Linked DNA regions of Nothobranchius furzeri. The protein of the gene in region 1 purifies or fractionates together with the protein of each later gene. This does not show direct contact. Links are inferred from orthologs where the notes say so. Each region holds a gene or a part of one and is shown on either strand. Other genes may lie near its edges. The genes, in order: trinucleotide repeat-containing gene 6A protein and ago3a.

Region 1 (8,994 bases):
CCTTAAAATGATGTGGTCTAAAAACACCAAATGACTTATTAATGCGTTTTTTGCTAAAATGGTGTTTTGTTTTTTCCCCCCCCTTCATTTCAAGTAGAAACCAAAGCACACTTCAAACCCAGAACCCAGGATGTGGAGGTTTAGACGACAGAAATTTGTGATGAGCAACTCTTAAAATATCATGTCAAATATTTTCTACACGAATGTGGCTTCAGTTTCCTTGTAAGGATAAAATAAACTACAGAGCAAATCAGTCGAATGATTTCATTAGAACTCGTTTTTCCATACATGAAGGTTGTGTCAAGATCCAAGGCATGAAGTAAATAACGTCTTTATAGTGCTCACTGTTTTACTGCTGTGTCTAGTCTGTCCAATAGTAAGAAAAAATCACAATCTCCACTTTTCCTTTCCATTTCTAGTGTTTCACATATTAAGCTGGAAAAGCTTGTAGTGTTTGTAGTGATTAATCATTGATGAGTTGGTTTCTTAATGTTTTTCTAGAGTGGCTTATGTGTCAGGGTGGGGCTAGCTGTTAAGAAGTGACTCAGTTTTGAATATAAAATCCCAACACAGCACCTCATAGCAATCTGTTTCTTTTGAAAGGCATAATGGGCCAAATGAGGCTGGTCCATGATGGGAGATCATTAGGATGTCCTCATCTACCTTTTTAGCTGTAACTTTATCTCTAACAGTGTTGTGTCACATCATACCATACGCCGTCAACAGCTTTTTTATGAATAAGAAGTGTTATTGCTGCAATATATAAATCATCAAATACAAAAATTGTTGGAACTAAATCGCTTTTTCAAATGTAGACCTAAGATTTGATGTGGTAGAAGTCCATCACAACAGGTACTTGACACGTCTCACCTTTATGTTAATGTTGTTTTATTAGACGCACTCCACTTTGAACTGCACCAATCCAGCAACTGCTGCATTGTAATAACTAGTATTAAAGGTGAACACACCAATATTTGCACAAGAATAATTTTTGTTTTAAACTCTCAGTGACACACTTTGCAGGGGGGATTTGGCATTTATTTTTTCTTGGCGTCTGGAAAAACATCTCCTTCTGCCCCCCTTTGAATTTCTGCCCCCTTTATTTTGGTCCAAGATCATTACTGGGCTGGCCCTACCCTGCTTAGTAGACTTAATGAAGTATTTTTAAGCCAGTATAAAAACAACTGAAACACAAATTTACATATTTGGCATTACTGACCAATATCTTTGGTTTAATTTATTTAAGAAAATCAAGATGAACATTATAAAGTAAAATTTTCTAGTGCAGAGAGGAGACAACCCATAGAAGCACTGATTTGATCTCATTTCAGAGAAAAATAGAACAGGTCCGATACACCTAATAAATAAAATTACTAACAAACTCAGGAATCTTTCTTTGCTTCATTGTTCTGGTGCTGAAAACATCACTAATGCAGATCAAAGGAGATACACCAGGGTGTCCGCGGGGTTTTAAAAAGTATTAAAAAGTGATAAATAAAAATAGTCAAATTTAAGGCCATTAAAAGTGTTAAATTTGGTCTCAGAGGTATTATTTTTTCCAAGTTAGGTATTATTTTTTTCAGACTATCAGGTGTCGTATTCTGAACATCGACATAGAAATATATTCCGAATGAAATGTTTTGAACGATTATAAAAATAAAACAAGCCGATTATTTGCTCCTCCCACTTGAGCTGCCCTGAGTTACAAATGAAGCGCTCCGTTGCCAACTTAGCGACTTTGATGCTATTTCCAACAGCTTTTCAGACCCCCTTCTTGACTTTTTAAATCTTAAAAGTACCTGGCGAACACCTCAGAAACATCTCTGGTAACCCTTAGCTACTTTCTGGATAACTATCGTCGACATTTCCTGCTGCAGGTTAGCTAAACACTCCGCCTGCGCTCCGGACCGTTCTTCAGGACATTAGGAAAGGGAATGATGTAATGATGTGTCGGTCGCTAAAGAAACAGCTCAGAGCCGGCTCCCTGTTGGAGTAACCAGAGTGAGTGACACACACCGTACCTGCGGACTCCTGAGCCACTAAAAACGGCTAAGTGTGCGTGTGCGGCGCGCTAAACACACGTGCAGCTTGCCCCTGATTGCTGTGAGACCGGGTTGGGGGGTGGGGGGTGCAGCTGTGGTTGGGACAATTATTACATTAACTGATGGACTTGTTAATAAATAGTTTATAAATAAGGTAGAAATAAGTTCCTCACGCTAATAAATAATAACTAATCTCTCTGAGGACACGGTGCTAGTGCACTCTCCTACAGCTCCTTGACACAACTCAATAAATGTTATGCAATATTTTGTGAACATCAATTTATTTGCATGTATTTGTTATAAATGCCACTGTATAATTCTTGCTGTCAGTATTTGCAAGATATTGGTATTTGGGTCTGCACTGGTTAGACTTAAATGAGTTAAACCAAGGTCTATTGCCCTTGGGTCATAAACTATGAGCTATAAGTATATTGGTCTTTTTATACTGGGAATCAGGAGTTCTTTTAGTGATCATCTTGTTTCTTGTTTATTTTTGCCCTGATTGTGCCCTGAGCAGTTTTATGACTGAATAAAAATAAATTAAAAAAATCTACATAAATTGAAAAATCGTCTTAAATAATCGAGATCTCAATTTCAGTCACAATAATCGTGATTATTGTTTTTGCCATAATTGAGCAACCCTACTTTAGCATATCCGGTCACATTATGATGACGTCATATTCAGTGGTCGTTCTGCATCATTTCAGGCCCCGTGGTCAACTGTCTGAACCGCTGAAAAGAAGTGCCTGGCATATTTTCTAAGTAAAATAAATATGCGCAATACGTTGTCAACATCAGTGAGTCTCTAAGTCTATGCTTTTTGTATGTTATATATGTTAAAATATGTGTAAATAGGTCGCTGATTAACACTTGCAATTTAGTGTTGTGATGGTTTTAAAAAAATTCTGAAGGTAGTAAAAAAAAGTATTAAAAAGTAGTAAATTTTACTTAAGGATTGCTGTATATACCCTGTACACAGATGAATGCACCTCTTATTTATTATTTGGAAATTAGTGGGTGTGGTTTACATCAATACATTATTTTAAATCTGAAGCTGATAAAGATTGATCAGAAGTTGCTATGTGTGTTGTTTATTAGAAAAATATTTACAGAGCAGCCTCAGAATTGAGATGAAATGTTTTTGATCACAATAGCAAAGGAACTATTACAGAACAAGTTTTTCACTAAAATCAGAACATTAATGTTTAAGTGCATGAATTAATGCATCTGAACTCATGCATTAGGAACTAGGAAATATGAAATACTAGAACCATTTTATTTTAATTTGATTAAACTGATTTTTTTTCCTAATGTTGTTGGCATTTTCCCCACACACAATTGAACAAACCAATGTTGATTACCAAGCTGCTACATCCTTCTCATTCTTGTCAGGTTTCTAGTCTGGGTTGTTGCAGAAATCGAAAGCAAGTTAGAGATCCATTTACCCTCGGTTGTTTTGCCGAGTTGCCATCTAACCTTTTGCTTTAACCAGTGAGTAGTCAACATGTTGAATAATAATTTATTAGCATTCATTGACTCTGGTAGGAATTGTTTTATTATGCTGAAAAAGGTCAGAAAACTAAATGTTTTGTTTTGAGAAACCACGTAGTGTTTTATGAACATTTAGCTCCTTTTTATCCATCACGTCTTTCTGTGAGCATGTGGATTGTTTCTAAAGCACAAGATTGTGACAGCTGTTTGAAATACTTCAGGATTGCTTCGGAAGCTGATGAATGTGATGGCTAACGTTGTGAACAATTATTTTACAGATGTTTTGAATCTAAAATTACAAAGAAAGAGTATTAAAATAAACTAATAATGGCTTCTTTCCTTTCCTTTATTTTTTTATTTTTTTGTGCAGCAGTGCCGAAGCATACTACATCAAGACGGTCCTTAATCATAACCACGCCTCCATCCTTCCCCGTCCCTATTTACAAACAATCACAAACACCAGTCTTCAGCGATGCCAAGGGAGGCTAATCAGCCTGTCTCCTGCTCTGACAAGCCCCGCCTCCTCACCTCACACCCTTGAAGCTGTGCTCACTAAGTGTTGACCTTTGACCTCCCCTGTGCCGAGCTGGGAACCAAAGGCCACCTGTTCTCTTCTGAAACCGGGGACACCCTCCTGTCCAGCCAGGAGCTGCAGCCACCAGTGGCACTCAGAGGTAAGCAGTGGGGGTGGGGGGGTGGGGGGGGGGCAGGCATTTGCATTCCCAACTGACTCCTCCTTTATGAAGGACTGAAGGCAGCTGTGCATTTAAACGGCTACAGATGTGAGCGGGTGTTTAACCCTCAGGTCTGAGGGACCTACTACATAGTTTTTATGAAATCAGATGAAGCAATAAAGTTACTTGCACAGACCCTCCACTGCTTCATAGTCAGAAAACCAAACTATTGCCTTAAAGGGACGTAGTTTTTTTTTATGCATGTAAACGCATTAGTCTGGCTAAAGCACCCACATAATGCGGTAGAAACTCAACTTCATCTGCATGTAAATGACTCAGTCGAGCTGATGCCACGAGACCGTGGAAGTAGTCTTCTGATAATTCCATTGTTACAAAGTAACATGCGTTACACCATCAAACAGTACAGTATCAGCTGTGCTGCCGCGCCGTTGTCCATTGCTTCACAGCCATCGTTCATATCCTGTTTTAACTCTGTCTGGCTCACTCCCGCCAGCATTGGTTTACTATTTGGGCAGCAGTCGCTCAGGAGGTAGACCGGTAATCAGAAGGTTGCAGGTTAGATCCCGGCTCCCATCAGACAATGCTGCTGTTGTGTCCTTGGGCAAGACGCTTAAGCCTCAGGCTTCACTTTATTTTACTATACACTTGAGTCTTTAGAGGACAAAACGTCCGCTGGTAAAAATGGCTATAAAAATGTATACAATAATATTTTTCTTCTGCTTTTTTTTCATCCTTCTGTTAAACTACTTCAGCCCTCCATCATTTTTAACACTTCAAATGCCAGTTTGATTACTCAGTCATTTCTGGAATTTATGGAGGAAAAAACACAAAAATGACTTATTTTCCCCCAAAAACAACTGTTTCTTCCTGGGGCATTTATTATAAATCAGGCTTAGTCATGTTATGAAATAACTGAAAAATAAAAAAATTTGCATCCGTAGTTTTTGTGTAGCAACAGATTGATCTTGGCGGACAAAAATGTCCCATTGACTTCCATTCAAACCACAGTTTTTCATCCTGTAACATCTGGAAAAAGTAATCATGCTTTCTGTGATATTAGTGTTTCATTTTTCACTAGTGAAATTTGTGATTTTTACTGTTCTTCACCAAATTCAGTTATTTCTCCATACGTGGCCCAGGTGAGAAAGTCTACACATTTCTTTAGATCTTCTGTTGTTTGTATTGAAGTCAAAAGGTCAACCTGACCTCTGATAAGTAGATAAAACACAGTTTGACTCTCTTACTGAACTTCAAAGTGTAGAAAGCAAAAACAATTGGTATGTTTATGCACGTGTCTGGAGCTCCAGCCAGGTGCATAAACATACTAAACTGTGGTTTGAATGGAAGTCAATGGGACGTTTTTGTCCGCTAGACTCAAGTGTATGGTGTTTTTTGTTTTTTTCTTCATAGTGTTCACTTGGTTTATTTTCAAAATTCCAAATTGAATTTCGAAATTTGTCCAGGGAGGTGTTTTGCAACAAAGATTTGTACCGTATGGTACGGCTGAACGATCTATCGTTTTTGGACCGAAATTCCGATTTCAAACAGCACGCTCATGTGACCGTCAACGCTATGGTTTTGGAGGTTTTGACTGATCCCGGATCAGTTTTGTAACTTTTTATTTTTTATTTTTTACATCCGGGGTTGTCGCCCTGTGTTATGTCGGCGGCAAAATCCAGCGCGGGGGAGGGGAGTGGGGTGTGCCATCCAGAGCAGAGCCCAACTCCAAAGCTGCCAGAGCTGCATGTTCAGGTTATTGTTCCTGTTTTACGTTCCCACACACAGCGCTGCTAGAGCCTATAATAATGGGACCGAAGGTGAGCCTGGGACAGAGAGAGAGAGAGAGAGGACGTAGGGGGTAAGGGAGAGAGACTCCTCCCACATCGGAGCAGGTTCAGGCTTATTTCTAAAGCTTGGTTTATGCTTCATCAGCGCGAGTGCGGAGCCGCGCACTTTAGTTGACTTGAAAGCTCAACTTATCTTTTAAAAATGGTTTGAATGTTTCTGATGGCACACGTTAGCTCAAACAAGCTAAGGTGTCAGAATGCTTGTGTCTCTCACGGAGTTGACATTTTAGTGAGGAAAATCAGACGACTTTGAAAAACGTGCAGCCAGCCTGCCGCGGTAATGCAGGGAAAACTGTGTGCATTTTTTTATTTAATACATTTAAAATCTATGTTTACTTACAGATTTCCTCCATGCATTTTTGGATAGAACATGTTTTGTAAAGCTCCTCTCTAGATATAAACTACAAGCACAAGTTGCTTCACAAACACATAAAAAAATGTAAAAAAAAAAAAAGATAATGGGAGAATATAATGGCTAACTGTTTTTATTGTATGATTAAATAAATAGTAAATATTAATGTGAATGATTTGTTGTACTAGATTAGAATCTAGACCATCTTTTCACCTAATCTACAGGGTGGCTTGGCAGGCTAATGCTGGATCTTTGTTTGCAGAAAATCGTGAATTGAACCGAAATCGCAATTTCTGCTAGAAAAATTGCAATTCAGTCTTTTCCTAAAATCGTTCAGGCCTACCATATGCACAAACAATGGTGAAATGGCATCCAAAAGAAAAGCAAAAAACTGCCCAAATGGACAAAAATGTCCCTAATGAAGCCTGAGGGTTAAACCCACCTTTTCTGCTGGTGGTGGTCGGAGACTGGTGGCGCCAGTGTTTGGCAGTCTTGTGTCTATTATTGAACCTCAGGGCAGCTGTGGCTACATTGTAGCTCATCACCACCAGCGTGTGAATGGGTAGATGACTGATTGTGTTGTGAAGCGCCTGGGGGGTAGAAAGAACCCTAAGAAGGTGCTTTACAAATGCAGGCCATTTACCGTTTTGGTGTTGCTAACCGGAAGAATACCGACACAAAAGGGCGCATGTTGCCTCGGAGTGGAGCGAACTTCATTTGAGAGTTCGGTTTTCTAATGTACAAATAAACTAGGATAATGGCTCCCGGTTAGTTGACTTTGATAGACCTAGCTTGAGTTAGTAGTGCATCTCTCTGTGATGGCTGCTATTGTGTTTATACTCGTAACCAGAAGTCTAAAATAAATGTTTGTGTCGTAAAATATTTTTATTGGGGTGTCAGTCATTTATTACAAACTATGGTATGGTACATAATTCTCAGAAATTATCAATCAATGAAGTCTTTAAATTCTTATATTATCTAAGAAATAACTAGAGATTTAGTAACAGAAAATACTAGTCCTGCTTTCCTTTAAAGCTGTTTTTCTAAACTCTTCTGACTTTAAACCTTTTTTATTACTGTATATTTATTCCAGCTGTTTCTAACATCTTCTCACATTGTTTTCCATCTCTGCTTCCCTTCGAACCTTGACAGTCTCCCGCTTTCTTTTTCCAGGCATGGCTCCCATTCGGGATTCCGTCAGCCACTCTCCTAACCAAACAGGTGACAACATATTGTCTTCTTTTAAAAAATACTCCTCCTTTGCATTTACTGCTCTGTCAAAGTGCTTTACTTTTGCTTTCTGCATAGAAAAGATCCAACCTGGACTTGACCTTGTCCAGTGGTGTGTTGTACTCCCCTCTCGTCAGTGAGACTGAAATGAATTCATGAAAAAGTGTGTGTTGAAGGGTGCATAAGAAGACCTGGTGCAGGCATGAAGTAGTGGATAGTGACTGAAAAATAACAAAGGCAAAGCTAAAAACACCATTATTATGGGCCTGTGTCCTTTTAGTTCTGTGGCTCATAAATAAATAAGTTATTAATACACTCAAACACCTGAGTGTGATTTATACTTCTGCGTCGATCCTGAGACATTCAACGCCATTATACGTTGGCGCAAGGGCTCTCCAACGGGCTTACAGATTGAGACATGCCCAAAATATTAAACATCTGTTAGAAGTGAGAGACCGCAAGCTTGTGATTGGTCAATTCAATTCAATTGTATTTATATAGCGCCAAATCCCGACAAGAGTCATCTCAAGACACTTCACATAATAAACATTCCAATTCAGGTCAGTTCATTAAGCCAGTCAGGAAAAATGTTTCCTATATAAGGAACCCAGCAAGTTGCATCAAGTCACTGACTAGTGTCAGTGACTATACAGCAATCCTCATACTAAGCAAGCATGCAGCGACAGTGGAGAGGAAAACTCCCTTTTAACAGGAAGAAACCTCCAGAGGATCCTGGCTCAGTATAAGCAGCCATCCTCCACGACTCACTGGGGATCGAGAAGACGGAACACACACACAGACACACACACACACACACACACACACACACACACACCAAGCAATGTGTCCATGGTTACACCGTGATTGCTTAGTAAATATTCTATTTGGCGAGAGATAAACTTTCTTGTATTTATCCTAGTGAATCTATTGTTAAACGGGTAAACTAGTAGTAGCACACCAACGTCAAGGAAAGCAAAAAGTTATTATCAGGAGAGGGAGAATGTTTAAGTGTTTAGCAGCAGTGTGCTAGACGATGGTCCCCTCCATGAGGCCACCACAGCTCAGCAGAGCATCGTTGTAGCTTCTTCTGGGGAGAAAAACACTTAGAGAGAAAAAATAGTTAACAGCTGAAATTGCAGAAAATAATACAGTTAAAGAGCAGATTGTAGAAGAAAGTAGTAGAGTGTGAAAAGTGGTCAGTGTGTCCTCTAGCAGTCTAAGCCTATAGCAGCATAACTACAGAGATAACTCTGGATAATCTATCCTATTTAGATGGAGGCATGTTGGAGGCAGGACAAGGGAGAGCCGTCTTTACCGACTCTACACTCCACCTCCCT
Region 2 (8,994 bases), on another chromosome or scaffold:
AAGGGTAAGCTGTCTGGTTTTCTACTTTAAATCATCAGATTTATGTAATTAATGTCATAAAAATGATTGATTACTTTTTTTTTTGCAGATTGGGAAGAGTGGGAACATCCCTGCAGGGACCACAGTGGACACCAGCATCACTCATCCCTTTGAGTTTGACTTCTACCTGTGCAGTCATGCAGGCATACAGGTGTGACTCACACACTTTTACAGTTTATTTCAGGTGTTTCCTTAACAACCCAAACCCTTTTCGTTTCCGCCACCAGGGTACCAGTCGGCCGTCTCACTACTACGTCTTATGGGACGATAATCGCTTCACGGCGGATGAGTTGCAGATTCTAACCTACCAGTTGTGCCACACGTATGTCCGTTGTACCCGCTCAGTTTCCATCCCCGCACCAGCCTACTATGCCCGTCTCGTGGCCTTCCGCGCTCGCTACCACCTGGTAGACAAAGAACACGACAGGTCAGTGTGATTTTTGTAAAAGCAAATCATAAAAATTTGGCATGCAACTACTTTCTACACTTTAGCGTAACTGCTGTGGTCTTTGGGTCTTCTCCCCGTTTTCCCTTTGCAGTGGAGAGGGCAGCCATGTTTCCGGCCAGAGTAACGGCCGGGACCCCCAGGCGCTGGCTAAAGCTGTTCAGATTCACCACGACACTCTGAGGACCATGTACTTCGCCTGAGCATCGCTCCCACCACCTCACTTCTACCTGAGCGGGCCTGAAAGCCTGCTCCCGCCTCATCCCCATCCCCATCCCTGACTCCCACCACACACACACCCTCTGTTGGTCCGTCACTCACTCATCTCCTGTAAACACAGCCAGACTCTGCAGCCTCATGCACTCAAAGTTTTAAATATTTTTATTCTCATGTTTTCATTTTTTTTAATTTTTTATCATGATGGTTGATTTTTTATGTTTTTTTATTTTTCAAACATGGACATGGTTATGTAATTGTATTGTACGCTACCTTTACACTCCTATCTAAGTAAGTATGCAATACGGATGGGAGGAAAAATAGATGATCGAAAGGGGAAAAAGAAATTCCTAAAACTTTTTTTAACTGCCACCACAATGCTGCCTCTTGTCCCATCCAAAAGCCGGATGCCGGTGTTCCAACCCTTTAGCTTGGCGATCCGCCAGATGGGTGGTACTGAGCACGCACACTTACATTTATGTTATTTTTTAATGTTTTCATGAACTACATTCATGTTTTGTGATGCTTTTGTAATAATGTTATTTTCTTAAAACGCCTTGATGAGCCTGAGGGATGGTACAGTAGCACTTAGCGTTAGCATGTAGGTGCCACCGGTCCTGCACATAAAGAATTGTAGTCGTTCGAGGCTAGCCCTCTGGTCGTTATTAGCAGACAGGAGCAGGTGTAGCGATCCTAGGTGCTGTGGCACTCTCAGTCCCGATTGGCCAGTCCCTATAGAGAGCTTAGCATAACAGTAGAGGGACCATTTGCATAGAGTGTATCAAATATACTTGCACCCCATGCACCTAAACCAGCATTATTAACCAGCCAAAAGTGATGCCACCCAGTTAAAATAGGAGGCACTTAAATGGGAAGACTTTGTCTGTATTCACTGCTCTTTAAGGATTTTAGGCACTTTTTTTTTTTGTTTACGTATAATTTTACATAAAAATTATGAACTTTTTTTTTCTGCAAGACTTGAACCACACTAGCTTAGAGTTTCACACCCACACTTGAGTTGCACTCAGAAATAAAGCAATAAGCAAGGTCAGCACTGTTGTGCACACTTGGAAACAGGCGAGTTTGTGATCGCCCGAGTGCTGCGAGGCTGAACCTCCATTCAGCCGGCGACCTTCCTTCGCTCGTCCTGCATATTCCTACTTGTATCAGTGGAGATGACGCCACGCGGTGCATTTTTTCACACTTCCGTTCTCAAAACTTCCTTGCATAACTGCACACACCAAACTACGACCGGTCCTGTTTTTACTCGGCGCTCTTCCTGCTGCAGGCGTTTACAACTCATAGCTTGGGTAATGAAAGCACACGTTGATTTGTTTCTTAACATGCAGAGGTAGAACACGCTCATGCAAACTGTTGCTCTTTGGCCTCGCCACCACGTTCTGTCTTTTGCCATTTGTTTTTCATGTTTTGGCACCACATGCATTCAGCATCCCCTGTTCCAATCCCCTAATCTGTGTTAGCCAATCCCTATTGGTGCTCTGTGTGCATGGGCGTCATAGACAGGGGATTGCTCATTGGACAGGGTGGGCCTCTGTTACTACATTTCAATATGCCCTGCCTTCACATCAGCTCACTGTCTGGATCTATGAGAAAAAAAAGCATGTAACTATTATTTTAACTGGACTGGATATTCTGAGCCACCTTCTGTTGGTTTTCTTAGAGGTAGGAGCCTTGTGCTCAACACTGCCTGTCAGTTGTTTTGCCTCTGTTGTGTAACAGTTATTGAAACTGATATATTTTTTGTCATTATTATAAATATTGTGACTATTGTCAGTGTATCCTCAAGAGGGCACTGTGGAGATGGTGTCTAAATTCCACCTCAGGTGCCCTTAAAGCGCCTCAAATCTCATCTGATGGGCAGAAGCCCTTAAAGTCGAGGAAGGATCTGATTAAAAAAAAAGAACACACTAGATCAGATGTTCGATTTTAAAATCATATTTATAAAGTTGCATAATCCGAATGCCTTCGTACACCGGTTTACTGATCCTCCATAGTGTCCAAGGTGATTTGTATATATTAATATATATAATATGTACATGTTCTATATTTTGGCCTGACACATGCTGGGTCTTTCACAGTTGAGGCCAGTGTTTTACTCTGCGTTCTGTACTTAAAGAAGTCGGGGGTACTCCTCTGCACCACTAAAACCAGATGCAGTTCTTCACGTACTGAAGCCACAAAAGCACCTTGCCAAGGGGGACACAAAAATGGTCTCCCTGGAAATGTATCGTGGACAGCGGAGAGTCGAGTCCTCTTCGCACAACCTCACGGTCCGATTAAGCAATATCAAAGCCACTGATCAAGAACAGTCCTCATCATAGCACTTCCCAATAGATATGAATGAAAGGACATGGAAGCATATTACTTAAGTTCTGTGTGTGATAGTGTTGGAACTCTGTCGGGGAGGGTTATTTTTTAATAAAAAAATAAATTGTTTTTTATTACTCCTGCAGGTTCTTTTGACTCGTTTGTTGTTTCATGCTTTATTTTTTATTATTGTGCATTGATTTATACTGTAAAAAGTTTCTGATGCTTCTTTTTTTTTAATTATGAACTGATGTATTCATTAATGCAGAAAAAACTGTGGCTGAAGGCGGAGTGAGTTGTTCTGACGTCTGCTGGCAGAGCCCACCTCTTCCTGTCGGTGTGAGAAAGGCTACTTCACCATATTTAGCTGGCTTGCCGAAGCCCTGCAGAGTTCTGTCAACTAGCCTGAAAATCTTGACACTTCTCGGAGGAAACAACGCGGAGCTGACAGCGTCGTTTCGGCACCGGGATACAACTTACTGACGACGACGTCGACGGAACACGGCGCCTGAGAACGCGGCCTGTTTTTAACAGCTGTTTTTAACGCGATAAAAGTAGCTATCGCGTGTCATTATTCCAACTATCAGCGCGAGCTAGCCAGCTAGCTTGTTACTTTAGCCGCTCCGACGTTCGCCGTCCCGATAAGTATTTATGCCGCTCCTGCTAATGGTCACCTATCGTTAGAGACTCGTTTGGACTCTGTGACCCTCCCTGCTGTGATGATCTCCTGACAGCTCCTCTCGTCCGTTCTAGACACTTTTCAAAGCCTGGCTAGCAAGCTAACCTAGCAGGTTTTCACTGCCACTGTAGCCTTCTCCGTGGCGGTGAAACCCGATTTCTGACGGCGGTGCGAGGAGACGCCGAGAAAAAAAAAACTCTGCTGGTGAAAAGACTCGATTGACAGCACGTTAGGAGGGGGGGGACATAAAAAACGTGGACACCCTTGTCGCTGTGCAGAGACAGGCGCTGTCCTCCCCACGGAGGAGACACCGGAGCTAACAGGAGTAACCAGACGTTTGACACCTGTGATCCGGGAAGTGAACCGGGCAGGGACCTCATGAATGGAAATCGGAACTACAGGTAATTTACTCTGCATCGTTATTTTAAATAAAAACTCTTATGGGTAGAATCGAGATCAGACACGATACCATAATTTAACATTTTAGCTGTTAATGTCTTAAAGTTGTGTCCATCCCGATGGTCCATCCTTGTATTTATAACACTGTAAAAAATGTGTGGTTGTCTGAACTAATTCACCAGTTTTATTTTTAATTAAATTGGTAGGTTATTCAACCTTTTGTTTCCATTAACCTGATTTGGATTAACTGCTTTGAGTAATTAATTGGATCTGCAAACCTTTATTAATCAAAAGTAAACTGTTAAACAACTTTGTATGACAGGGAAACCTTGTTACGGTGAAATGAAAATAATCATGGTTCAAATATTTGAGTCTTTCAATTAAGTCTGGTTGAAATTTTAATTCAAATATGCATTTATAGCCTTTAATTTGATCACAACATCACCAAGTAAGTGTATGCTTATTTATGTCTGATTTTTGATCTTTGTATTCTGATGATTGATTGGTTTTTAAATGTGTCACCAAAGAGATACTCAGTCTAAATGAAATATCCAGAGGAGGTGGTTGTGTTGCATCACCAGGCAGGTGTGGGCATTCTCACACAGAGTCTGAAGATTAACCTGGTATTCCCCTTAATAAAAGACTTCTCCAACAAACCATATCTGTCTTCTAAGAATGTGACAGAAGGTGAACTCCGTTCTTGTAGAAGACCCTGGGTCTCAGCATCATGGCTCTAACTGACCTTGGCGCATTTAGGGCTTGAAACTTTGCGATCTATAGGGTTAAACCCTATTACCTTCTACAAGCTGGATCCTAAATAATATTTTTCAATCTTTCTAAAACATCTAAATCTAATGAGTGTTTTTTTGCAGGTATGATCCCATATAAACTTGCTAGTTCATGTCTAGCTCCAGTGAAAAAAACATATTTAACTGACCAAGAGCAAACCGGTGGTCCCTTTTTTGTTCAGAGTGACAGTTAAACAGTCCAAACCACCTGGCTTGGTCTCCACGGAAGCTTTGTAACGGAAGCTTTCCACTAATGTGACAATAAACTGAATCCTAGGTACTCTTGATTATCCAGTGACACACGATACAGCGGTTGGTTTGTATCCCACTGCCTCCTCGAGGAGATCTCTCTCAGCTGCCCATTCTCTCTAGTGCTGAGCTCTCCTCAAGCTTCCCCGCTTTAACAGCATGTGTGACTGCAAGGTGTTTTCCCAGCAGCTAAACACACAGTAAGGTCAAACAAATACAGAAAAAAATGCATTCAGTCAAATTATTTACATCCTAAAATGTAGCATTGGTCTAAATGTAATGTTATTCTTGTTAAATTAAACATTCTATACAGTCTTGTTGTATGGACACCAAGTAAGGCAGCATTTTGCGTGCACTTCACATAATGTACATAGAATGTTTTTTTTTTGATAAATAAAATTATCTGTCCTTTCCTGTAACATTCTCCAGTAAGGTTTAGTAATTGGATGGATTATTCGACCATCGGGGATTGGCCAAACTCTTTGGCAATAAGCAATTATTTTTAAAGCCTCACAGATGGGACATTGCAAGCGCCCATGTCAAATCCGCATCATTTTTGCAACACTTCTTCTATGTACACATACATATTACACATAATTTAAAAGCCAGGGTTATTTAAATTTCAACGATATGTTTCAAACAAGGATTCAACCATAGGTGTAGAGATAATAAACACATTTGCCTCTTGGAGATTCAAATGAAAGTCGACTGGAATAGAGTAGGGATAGGCAACCCTGGTCCTAGAGAGCTGCAGTCCTGTTTGTTTTCCAACTATCTTTGTTGTTCCTGTTGTTCAGCCAATTAGAAGCTGCAAGTTCATGCATGGCTGGAAAACATGCAGGACTGCAGCTCTCTAAGACCAGGGTTGCCTACCCCTGGAATAGAACCATCTCCAACAGCAATGGTCTTTTTACATCCAGAAGTCCAATTAAAGCACTCCAATAAAATAGTTGGTCTACAACAAGTTTTGTGTTCACAATCCTTTTTTTCCCCCACAACTTGGTTAAGTAAACTCAACATTTTATTTTTTTCGAGTGTATCAAGAGTATAGAAACAGAAGCTTATTGTCATTTTGCACCAGATGATTAAATAAACACAAGTGCTTCACAATCCATCATAATGGACTGCGGAAAACATTCAAAATTTCCCTAAGATGCATCTCATAATCCCCGCTGGCATCCAAACGTTGTCTTCAAACACTTGAGGGACATCTTCCTGACGTAGGTGAAGAGTTACCCACTATCTGCTGGGGCAAAATCGGCAGCTATTGTCTAACTTGTCATAAGTACCCCATTTATTACCATGTGTGTTGCATGAACCAACCTGTTGTTATAGATCATGATCTCTCCACACTCTGTGGAATGACGTCCAGTTAATGTAATTTTATATACAAACCTAAAAAAAGATGTGTTCTAAAGCAAATAAGTGTGAGTGTGTGTATATGTGTGTATATTATATACATGTATGTGTGTATGTGTGTATGTATGTATGTATGTATGTATGTATGTATAATTTTATAATATATATATATTTTTTATGTTATATATATGTAAATATGTGTGTGTGTGTGTGTGTATATATATATATATATATATATATATATATATATATATATATATATATATATATATATATATATATATATATATTTGTGTATATATAAATGTGTGTGTATTTTTCGCTTAGACAGACCTTATGTTTTTAAGGTAGTCCATATTCTGTCTTGTAAATTAAGCAGAATTCGCACTCCATTTTAAGCTATGTATCAGCTGGTTCATAGCCTGCAAGTCCTATCCAGATTGAGCAGTGGTTTCAATGCCAAGACGGGAATGTTGTCCGTTATTCCCAGATTATCTGCTAGCACAATGATTAGGGGTATCTGAGGGTTGGAATGTTCTGTTAAGTCTCCAGAAGCTACGTCAATGTTATGAAAGTGGTGAGGCTACAAGACGACAAAAGGTCCTCTAGTAGACACAGCATGTGCTCTAAAAGTAAATAAATGACATAGCAGGGCTGCATTTAGTGGTTAGTATGGCTGCTTTTTGTTTACATTTTTGAGGTCTGTGCAGAAGGTTGCAATATACGTACACTGTCATCACACACGGATTATTGAAAGTTGAACGTGGCTGACAGATATACAGTTGTGGTCAGAAGTTTACATACACTTGTAAAAAATATAATGGCTCTACCGAGTGTCCCATTATTTTTAAAACTCTGATTTTTCTCTGATAGAGTGATTGGAACAGATACATCTTTGTCACAAAAAACATTCATGAAGTTTGGTTCTTTAATGTCTTTATTATGGGCTAACAGAGAAAAGTGATCACATTTGCTGGGTCACAAATATACATACAGCAACATGAACTAGCAATTTTGGTGACTTAGAAACGTGTCAGTGAACTGAGCTTCATAGCATGGCCTCTTAACTTCTTGTGAGTGATTATGAGTGACTACAGCTGGTGACTTCTCTTAGGCCAGGTAAATAGGGCTCATTGGATACAAACGCCCACAAACGCTTCAATGGGAAAGTCAAAGGAGCTCAGCATGGATCTGAAAAAGCGAATTATTGACTTGAACAAGTCAGGAAAGTCACTTGGGGCCATTTCAAAGCAGCTGCAGGTCCCAAGAGCAACAGTGCAAACAATTGTTTGTAAGTATAAGGTGCATGGCACTGTTTCATCACTGCCAAGATCAGGAAGAAAACGCAAGCTATCACCTGCTGCTGAGAGAAAATTGGTCAGGAGGGTAAAGAGTGAACCAAGAATCACCAAAAAGCAGATCTGCCAAGAATTAGAAGCTGCTGGAACACAGGTGTCATTGTCCACAGTCAAACGTGTTTTGCATCTCCATGGACTGAGAGGCTGCCGTGCAAGAAGGAAGCCCTTGCTCCAAAAGCGGCACCTTAAGGCTCAACTGAAGTTTGCTGCTGATCACATGGACAAAGATAAGACCTACTGGAGGAAAGTTCTGTGGTCAGACGAAACGAAAATCGAGCTTTTTGGCCACAATGCCCAGCAATATGTTTGGAGGAGAAAAGGTGAGGCCTTTAACCCCAAGAACACCATGCCTACAGTCAAGCATGGTGGTGGGAATATTATGCTGTGGGGCTGTTTTGCTGCCAATGGAACTGGTGCTTTACAGAGAGTAAATGGGATAATGAAGAAGGAGGATTACCTTCACATTCTTCAACATAACCTAAAATCATCAGCACGAAGGTTGGGTCTTGGGCGCAGTTGGGTGTTCCAACAGGACAATGACCCCAAACACACATCAAAAGTGGTAAAGGAATGGCTAAATCAGGCTAGAATAAGGGTTTTAGAATGGCCTTCCCAAAGTCCTGACTTAAACCCCATTAAAAACATGTGGACAGTGCTGAAGAAACAAGTCCATGTCAGAAAGCCATCAAATTTAACTGAACTTCACCAATTCTGTCAAGAGGAGTGGTCAAAGATTCAACCAGAAGCTTGCCAGAAGCTTGTGGATGGCTACCAAAAGCACCTAATTGAAGTGAAAATGGCTAAGGGACATGTAACCAAATATTAGCACTGCTGTATGTATATTTGTGACCCAGCAAATGTGATCACTTTTCTCTGTTAACCCATAATAAAGACATTAAAGAACCAAACTTCATGAATGTTTTTTGTGACAAAGAAGTATCTGTTCCAATCACTCTATCAGAGAAAAATCAGAGTTTTAGAAATAACGGGACACTCAGTAGAGCCATTATATTATATTTTTTACAAGTGTATGTAAACTTCTGACCACAACTGTATTGGTCTACCCCAAATTCTGAAACCCTATTGGTTTATGCCATTCTCATATCATTTTATAGAAAATTTGCATTACACTAA

Evidence for each region.
Region 2: the proteins of trinucleotide repeat-containing gene 6A protein (region 1) and ago3a purify together in Homo sapiens (affinity purification with mass spectrometry; 7 studies listed by BioGRID and IntAct, with this or other methods). This does not show direct contact. The link is inferred for Nothobranchius furzeri from reciprocal best matches to the Homo sapiens genes TNRC6A and AGO3.

The regions. Positions count from the first base shown.
Region 1 is NC_091752.1:63,514,805-63,523,798, forward strand, and holds the start of trinucleotide repeat-containing gene 6A protein, read left to right. Parts: upstream 1-3,972; 5' UTR 3,973-4,207; intron 4,208-7,600; 5' UTR 7,601-7,602; coding exon 7,603-7,648; intron 7,649-8,994.
Region 2 is NC_091745.1:69,169,692-69,178,685, reverse strand, and holds the start of ago3a (protein argonaute-3), read left to right. Parts: upstream 1-3,857; 5' UTR 3,858-4,089; coding exon 4,090-4,108; intron 4,109-8,994. Other genes in the region: ago1 (protein argonaute-1), read left to right, coding at 1-4, 89-190, 267-466, 579-687.